2 linked regions of the Oryctolagus cuniculus genome follow. Each later gene encodes a partner of the first gene's protein in a complex. Links are inferred from orthologs where the notes say so. Each region holds a gene or a part of one and is shown in the gene's direction. Other genes may lie near its edges.

Region 1 (4,226 bases):
ATGAACACCTAACGGGCTGTCATTTTTAAATGGACTAATAAATACTCATTAAAATGACTGTTTTGGAAATAATGGTAAATATAAACCATATAAACAAAAACTCTTTGGACTCTTCAGTATTTTGGGGGAGTAAAGCGATCCTGTGATCAGAAAGTTTGAGAACCACTGTCTCTGGCACCCCATACCTCTCCTGTCAGATTTATTAGCCTTCCTGAGCCTGTTTCCCACGAGCTGTGCCCATCTTGTTGACTGTTGAGTCACCAGAGCCTAGTACATTGCCTGACACTTACTAGTTCAATAACTGTTATACCAAGTGACAAATATGGACTTCTTCGTTTTCAGCAAAGCAAGTAATTTGCAGGGAAAAAAAAAAGTTCTGTTTAGAACAAAAGCGTGCTGTATCTTTCTAAAGGAAAGACAAAGTTACTGGGCCAGCACAGGTTGTGTTTACACTGGGATGTTTATGTTTACGTTTCAAGTTTGGGGCTTGAGCACTTCTGAATCCTGGAGGACGAGGCAGGCAGAGTCCAACTCTTCGTCCAGAGGAAGGCATGAGACGATCAAACAGGAGTCTGAGATTAGGCAAAGGTTGATCCTTGTGCTTATCCTTGGTTTGTTCGTTCATTCAGTCACTGCACACTAGACAGCAAATCCTGCAGCAGGTGATTAGGCTACCAAGATGAGCCAGAGCCGGAGCCTATCCCAGGGCAATCAGAAACAAATAAGTAAAAGACATGACACCGAAGCAGGGAAGAGTTTTTGGGCGACGGAGACGCGACGTTTTTGCGTTTTAAGGAAGCGAGAGAAACCTGTCCTGCCGGTCCCACCCACTCCCCCAAGATGGCGCCCACTGCAAGGCAGTATTCCCACACCTTCCTTTGGGGTACCGCCCGGACTAGGTCAGCCAGGCCGAACCTTCCGAAGACCCACGGGGCCTAAGGCCCCCAAGGGACTGCATTGCCCTAAAGGACCTCATCTCGTCCACAGGAAGGGCCTGGTGGTCATCAACGCACGACAGCCGCGCATTCCTTGGCGCCCCGCCCCTCCGGACCCTGCGCCTCAGGCCTTCGTCGGCACCTTTTGACGTCATGGTAGGCGTGTCGGCGCGACACAGGACGTCACACCGCGCCCACAATGGCGACTGCGTCAGCCTGAGGAGGGCTCCGTTTGAAGTCATTTCCTGACGCTGCCGCGAGAATTGCAGTCGTCTCAGACCCGAGCGGCGGTGGCGGCGGCGCGCGTGCGCGCTCTCGCCGCGCCCTGGACCGAGCGGCGGCGCCGCCGAGGCCCGGTGGTTCAAGCCAGGTGGGCGGTGGCGGAGCCGAGCTGAGAGGATCGGCGCGCGCGCGCGCAGTGGGCGGGCGGACAGCCGCGCGGAGCGAGGGGCGGCGCGGCGGCGAGCGGTCCCGACTTCCCGGGGATTGCTGGGGCGCCGTGGGGAGGCGGGCCGGGGGGCCGCGGGGCGGGAGCGGAGCACGGCCGACCTCCTTCTCAGATCCCCTCTCTGGCGTCATTTCGGCCTCTTCGCTCGTCTGAACCCTGCTTCTGGGCTAGGTAGGAAACATGAGCGGCAACAACTTGGGTGGGAACGACGAGTTTGATGAGCAGTTGCGAATGCAAGAATTGTACGGAGACACCAAGGAGGGTGACACCCAGAACGATCCCGGCGGAGAACCCGATTCTTTCGGGCAGCAGGCGGCTGACACCCCGTACGAGTGGGACCTAGACAAGAAGGCTTGGTTCCCCAAGGTAAGCGAGTAGCACTGGCGCCACTGCAGAGCGGGCCGCCTGGCCAGCTTCACAGAGCACTTTTACATTTGCTGTGCTCACTCAGTCAGGTCTGTGGTCCTCACCCCCCTGGATGGTGACGCTTGTTTTTGTTGTGTCTTTTGCAGAGTTGATGTGTAAAGGAACGTAAATCTTTCGAATGGGGTATTAAATGCCTTTTCCGTGCTTTATTTTGTCTGTGAAGGTCACAGTTGGCTATTCTATTGATGACTTTTTTATTGCAAAGAGGAAAAACACACAAAAAATTTTGTAGCTGATCATCTCAGATAGCCGCCCTCGCTTACCTCACTTATCGTAGGAATTCACGTTTAGCATATGTCTTCGTTTACAAAAAGTTGCTGTTTATATACTTGTGCTGAATGAACTTTGTTTGCTCCTTGCTTTCTCTGCCTGCTGCGTTTGTCCTTAGGCATTTATGTTTGAACTTTACATCCACAAGAATACAATGAGGGATGCGCAGAGTATGGTTGGAAAAGATGTGTGCATGTTAGTTTGGAGTACTGAGAAATTGTTAGATATTTTATTTCTGCTTGGAAGTAACATAACTAGTGAAACTTGGTTCTGTAAACTTTGCTGTAGAAGCACTCTGTTATTCTGAGTCTCCTGTGGAGGCCAGAAAGACTACTAATAGCACACCAAGACATGCAAACCAACAAAACACAGCGTGTCTCCATTGTGTGATTAGACTGATCTGTGAAAAAGTCTTCATTTCTACTTTTCTTTCCCATTTTATATTTGTATATATTGAAAGTTCTCCAACTTTTTAAAATTTGCTATTTTACAAAAGTACAGGTAGTGTCAGCTTGAGGCAAATTGGCTTTCTTCAGCCTTCTGAGTACTTTTAACAGTAGTCTGGTAGTGGATTAATTTATCGTTCTACATTTTTGTGTTATTGAGGCCCTTACCTCTTCAAACTTTGAGTTTTAAATTTTCCCCATTCATGTGTGTACTGAATGTTGATTGAATTGGTGTGATGCTATAAGCACTTTTCTAACATTATATAATAGTCCATTTTCCCCCCAAAACTAGTTGGATTTGCCCTGAATTGATTCTGATTCTAAATGGTGATTTCATTAGTGATAGATTTCAAATGATCATTTAGCTTTGTAATTATGAGTCTCATTCTTTGTATGCCACATCACACTTCCATTCTATGTGCTCTTTGAATTCACATATTGAATAATTAAGTGGAAATATATGTGTGCTTCTATACAGTAAAAAAAGTGGATTTTGTGGTTAGCTTATTAGTTGACTGTAGGTTGTTATCCTGTCGTATTGTTACCTGGTATTTCCTTTGTTATATGTATGTGTAGCCTTAGTCAGTAGACTGTGGAGAGGTAGTAATTTATAAATGCATCAACTAGAAAAGGGACCAACATCACTTAAAGTGCTTTATTAGTACCACAGACTTTTGTCTTGATAATTTAAGTATTTGTATCAGGTGACCATTCTTGGATTTACACTTTAATCACTACAACTACAATTATTATTCACGCAGCGTCTTCGATGGTAAGTTATATAGCCAAATAGTCTGTAATATGACACAGTTTGAAGTTTATGGGTGGAAATAACTGAATTTCTGTGCATGTGTTTGTATGTGTATGCACACACGTGCATGAACTAAATTTCTTGTTTAGATCACTGAAGATTTCATTGCTACATATCAGGCCAATTATGGCTTCTCTAATGATGGCGCATCTAGTTCTACGGCAAACATACAAGATGTCAATACTAGGATTGCTGAGGAACCTCCACAAAGAAAAACTCCTGAACCCACTGATCCCAGAAAGAAGGGAGAAAAAAGAAAATCCGAGTCAGGCAAGTAGTTCTAGCTTGCAGAATATGAGTGTAAAAACTTAAAAGTGTGAATGTATACATAGAGTTACTTTTTGGAGATTTATAATAGCTTTGAACAAATGGCAAGATTTTTTTATTTAAATAATGGCAGATTCATAATTACCTGATTTGATTAGTTTATGCTCTATTTGTATATTGAAAAATTTTACTATAGCCCATGAAAATGTTTAAGTAGGGATCGGTATTGTGGTGCAGCAGGTTAAGCTGCCACTGGGAACCCGGCACCCCATATCAGAGTGTCAGTTTAAGTTGTGGCTCCTCAGCTTCTGATTCAGCTTCCTGTATCTGTATTCTGGAGGGGAGCAGATGACGGATCAAGTCCTTGGGCCCCTGCTACCCATGTGGGACACTAGGAGGAATTCTGGACTCCTGTTTTTGGCCTGACCCAGCCCAACCTTGTTTGTGGACATTTCAAGAATGAAACAACAGATGGAAGATATCTCTCTCTGTTTTCCAAGTAGATAAAAATAAATAACACATTTCAAAATGTACAAATATTACGTACTAGTCAAAAATCTAAATAATAAGCAACAATCAAAATAAACAGGCCTTTTTTTAAGACAATACTGCATCTGTCAAAA
Region 2 (4,365 bases), on another chromosome or scaffold:
TGGCCTCCAGGATGAACTATCCCATCTTCAGGAACTATTAAGGAAGTGGACACCAAGAGCGTTTCCTGGTGATCACTCCAAGAAAAGAGATCCAAGTACCATTCTCTCTCATTCCTGCTGAAATTGCTGGCATTCTCAAAGAGCAGCGGGGGATCTGGGTTGAGGGAGAGTCCTAATACTGCAGTGTTTTGTATATGGCCTTGTTGCCTCAGCTTTCACACTCCAGCTCTTAAGCAAACTCACTTAGAATTGAGTTTGTTGTGGACGGTGGTGCTAATCTTTAATTCTTGTCCTTTTATTTGGTTCCTGAAGCTGTTGTTTCCTGGGAGTTGAAGAATTAAGAAACAAAACAATCCACAATGTAATTGCTTTATAGATAGCCAGCTATTTAAGTTGTGACACCAGAGACGCTGTTCACCAGTTCCAACAGTATGGCCTAAAGACCTCATTCTTGCCCCTTCTTGCTGCCTATTTTAATTCCAATTTCTGTTTCTTCCTGTATAGTTTCTTTTGGAAACAAAGTGGATATGAAACACACCCTCTCTTCCAACTGTACATTTTTGTAGTGGCATTTCTATTTAAGTTCATTAAAGCACAATATTTATACACATTGCTGGCACTGATTCTTGGATTTGAATGAAGGATCCTAGATAGCAAAGACTTGAGAAAAGGTCCCCATCGTATGATTTCTAAGAAAGGAATGGATTTGGACCACGTGAGGCTCAGAATTCTCATCTCCCATTTAGAGGCAGACAGCCAAGAGCATATTATGACGTTGCTGGGGCCAGAAAGTGCTCTTGGAGTTGCAGCTTTGGTCACACTCCATCCGGGGAGCCTCAGATTCTGCTCACACTCCGGCTCAGACATTACCTCGAGCCAGCCAGAGGCATGAGGCCAAAACTAAGACGCTTGTGGAGCAGAGTCCTTAGGTTGAGGGGTCCCTGAGAACCTTTTCCTTTGGGTGACAAAAGGATCAGCTGGCTACAAAATACACGAAGAGTTACTATTTTTAGCTTGAAAGAGAGGAACAGACAACTTCCATCCGCTGGTTCACTCCCCCAAATGCCTCTAACAGTCGGGGCCATGCCAGACGCAGACCGGGAGCGGGGAACAATCCAGGTCTCCGACATGGGTGGCAGGGACCAAACTTGGGGTTTCTGCTGCCTCCCAAGGTGTGCATTTACAGGAAGCTCGAGTCGGGGGAAACCGGGGCTCGGACCCTGTAATTCTTGACTGAGGATGCTGTGGCTTAACCGCTGTGCCAAACGCCCGCACCGGTGGGAGACGTCTGGCACTGCTTTCAGAGGGCCTGCGCTTTCCTGCCCCGCCCTCCTCGCTACGACCGCTCGCCCCGGAACCTCGGCGCAAATCCAAACGCCTCTGAACCGGGACGCCACAGCACCGTCAAGTCCCGCGGGATCCTAAGATGGCCGCAGCCGCTTCCGGCCCCGCCCCCGTCCGGGCCCCGCCCAGCGTCACGTAAGTCTTCGCCCCGGAAGTGGAAGTAGTGACCGCGGCCAGAGGGCGGAGCCGCTGCTTGGAGGCGGCGGGATTCTTTTCGCCATGGCTGCCGGGCCGATCTCCGAGCGGAACCAGGGTGACTGGGCGGGGAGACGAGTCCGGAATGGGCCCGGGAGGGTGGGAAGCCCCAGCTAAGGCCAGTAGCGTCTCCAAGGCGGGAAACTGGACCCCCGTCCCCCGGAGGGCGCGAGACTCGCTTCCGTGGCTGGTGCGGGCGGGTTGGCCGGGTGCAGGCTGAGGCCTGGACGTGTGATGTTTCGTGCAGTCCCCCTGCTGCCTTTTCTGAGTGGGACGGAATTTGCAGCAGACACTAAAGTGAACTTCAGAAGGGGCTCTAGGTCCTGCGAAGAGGACGATTTAGGGCTTATTTGGATGCTTTCCACCTCCCCCTTTTCGCTTCTGTCCCACATCCCCGCCTGCAGTTCCTCTAACTGGGTTCCATCTTTATGTCCCGGTCAGCTCCTTTCCTGTCATATTCGTCCCCATCCTAAATTCCTGCATCCTCCCTCCAGATGCTACTGTGTACGTGGGGGGCCTGGACGAGAAGGTTAGCGAACCTCTGCTGTGGGAGCTCTTCCTGCAGGCAGGACCGGTGGTCAACACTCACATGCCGAAGGACAGAGTCACTGGCCAGCACCAAGGTGAGTCCGCGCCAAGAGGCCACTTTATGTATCTGACAGCTGCTCCTGAGGGTCCCAGCGGTATTTATACTTGTTTCAGAATGAGCGACCAGAAGATTGCTTCCTCTTCTTTTCTCTTTTTTAAAGATTTATCTATTTACTTGGGAGGCAGAGTTACAGACAGAGAGAGGGAGAGACAGAGAGAGGCCTTCCATCCACTGATTCACTCCCCAAATGGCCGCACTGGCCGGAGCTGGGCCAGTCTGAAGCCAGGAGCTTCTTCAGGTCTCCCACCCTGGTGCAGAGACCCAGAGACTTGGGCCATCTTCTCCTGCTTTCCCAGGCCATCAGCAGGGAGCTGGATCAGAAGTAGGGTAGCTGGGACTTGAGCTGGCGCCCATATGGGATGCTGGTGCTGCAGGCAGATGCCCAACCCACTGTGCCTCAGCACCGGCCCCAGATTGCTTTCTCTTAATCCTCAGTTCACAGTTTGTTTCTAAAATCATTTTCTTGTTCTTTGTGATTGGAGGGTGGGTGAGTTTTACCCAGTTTCGGGTATCTTCGCTCTAGTTGCTAATCTCCTCTCTGCCTGCTTAGGCTATGGCTTTGTGGAATTCTTGAGTGAAGAAGATGCTGACTATGCCATTAAGATCATGAACATGATCAAACTCTATGGGAAGCCAATACGAGTGAACAAGGCATCAGCTCACAACAAAAACCTGGATGTCGGGGCCAACATTTTCATCGGGAACCTGGACCCGGAGATTGACGAGAAGCTGCTTTACGATACTTTTAGCGCCTTTGGGGTCATCTTACAAACCCCCAAGATCATGCGGGACCCTGACACAGGCAACTCCAAAGGTTATGCCTTTATTAATTTTGCTTCATTTGATGCCTCGGATGCAGCAATTGAGGCCATGAATGGGCAGTACCTCTGTAACCGCCCCATCACCGTGTCTTATGCCTTCAAGAAGGACTCCAAGGGTGAGCGCCATGGCTCCGCAGCTGAACGACTTCTGGCAGCCCAGAACCCACTCTCCCAGGCTGATCGCCCACATCAGCTGTTTGCAGATGCACCCCCTCCACCCTCTGCTCCCAACCCTGTGGTATCATCACTGGGGTCTGGGCTTCCTCCACCAGGTAAAGCTTTTGGTTCGCAAATACGTTTGTCTTGGGGCTGCAGTGAGGAGAACAAAGAACCTGGAAAGGGAAGATCTCCTGAGTCAGTGGGTGATGAGAAGGGAGTTAGGAGGTGGTGGGTGGGAGGGGTGTGAAGAACTCTGTCGGGCTTCTCCAGGGAGGTAGGATTATTTGAGTAGTGCAACATGGCTTGTGACCTTAGAGCACTGGGAGGAGGGGGCAAGAACTCACCCTGCATAGACAGGTCAAACTGGGACAGGTTCTTTAAAGGCATTCTTTGCCCACCGCCATTAATCCTTCTTCTGATTTCTATATAGGCATGCCTCCTCCTGGCTCTTTCCCACCCCCAGTGCCGCCTCCTGGAGCCCTCCCACCTGGAATACCTCCAGCCATGCCCCCCCCACCAATGCCTCCTGGGGCTGGAGGACATGGCCCTCCATCAGCAGGCACCCCGGGGGCTGGACATCCTGGTCATGGACACTCACATCCTCACCCCTTCCCACCAGGTGGCATGCCCCATCCAGGTAGGTGTTCTTGGCTGGGAAAGGGAGGGATGTGCGTGAACGAACAAAATGCTCTCTTTAGTTTACTACTTACCACCTGTCCTGTTGTGTAAGTCTTTCTGCAGAGTAGCCTATACTTGCTGTTTGTTTGTTCCCTGTTGTTTCCCTTCTCTCTGACTCAACCCCAGAGCAGTGGTCTAGGGGATACTTCGACTTCTTAGATGGTTTGCCCTCTGCTGTATTTGAAACTAGCTGTGTACTCCTGTTTGAAATTCTTGTCTGTTTTTTTCATCTGTTTTTTGGATTCTCCACCTGACACCTCAGTTTCAGTCAATTTGATAAACTGATTTTTCTCTGGGTCTAGATTAAGTATACACTGATGTCTCCTAGTCTGTATCTCTAGTTCATGATTATTAACAATCTAAATCCATAATCCTGTTGCTCAGTGGACAGATCCACTTTTGTACCTCTCCCCTTCAGACCTTTCTCTTTTTAAAAAAATACGTGTAGGGGCCAGCGCTGTGGCACAGCAGGTTAACACCCTGGCCTGAAGCTCCGGCATCCCATATAGGTGCTGGTTC

What was found. The genes of interacting proteins can lie anywhere in the genome.
Region 2: HTATSF1 (region 1) and SF3B4 share a complex: the UniProt entries of both Homo sapiens proteins name them as parts of the 17S U2 SnRNP complex. The link is inferred for Oryctolagus cuniculus from reciprocal best matches to the Homo sapiens genes HTATSF1 and SF3B4.

What each region holds. Positions count from the first base shown.
Region 1 is NC_091453.1:114,293,488-114,297,713, forward strand, and holds the start of HTATSF1 (17S U2 SnRNP complex component HTATSF1), read left to right. Parts: upstream 1-1,171; 5' UTR 1,172-1,305; intron 1,306-1,554; 5' UTR 1,555-1,563; coding exon 1,564-1,749; intron 1,750-3,425; coding exon 3,426-3,606; intron 3,607-4,226. UniProt on the Homo sapiens protein: Component of the 17S U2 SnRNP complex of the spliceosome, a large ribonucleoprotein complex that removes introns from transcribed pre-mRNAs.
Region 2 is NC_091438.1:48,025,733-48,030,097, forward strand, and holds the start of SF3B4 (splicing factor 3B subunit 4), read left to right. Parts: upstream 1-1,474; 5' UTR 1,475-1,563; coding exon 1,564-1,597; intron 1,598-2,033; coding exon 2,034-2,162; intron 2,163-2,738; coding exon 2,739-3,281; intron 3,282-3,598; coding exon 3,599-3,805; intron 3,806-4,365. UniProt on the Homo sapiens protein: Component of the 17S U2 SnRNP complex of the spliceosome, a large ribonucleoprotein complex that removes introns from transcribed pre-mRNAs.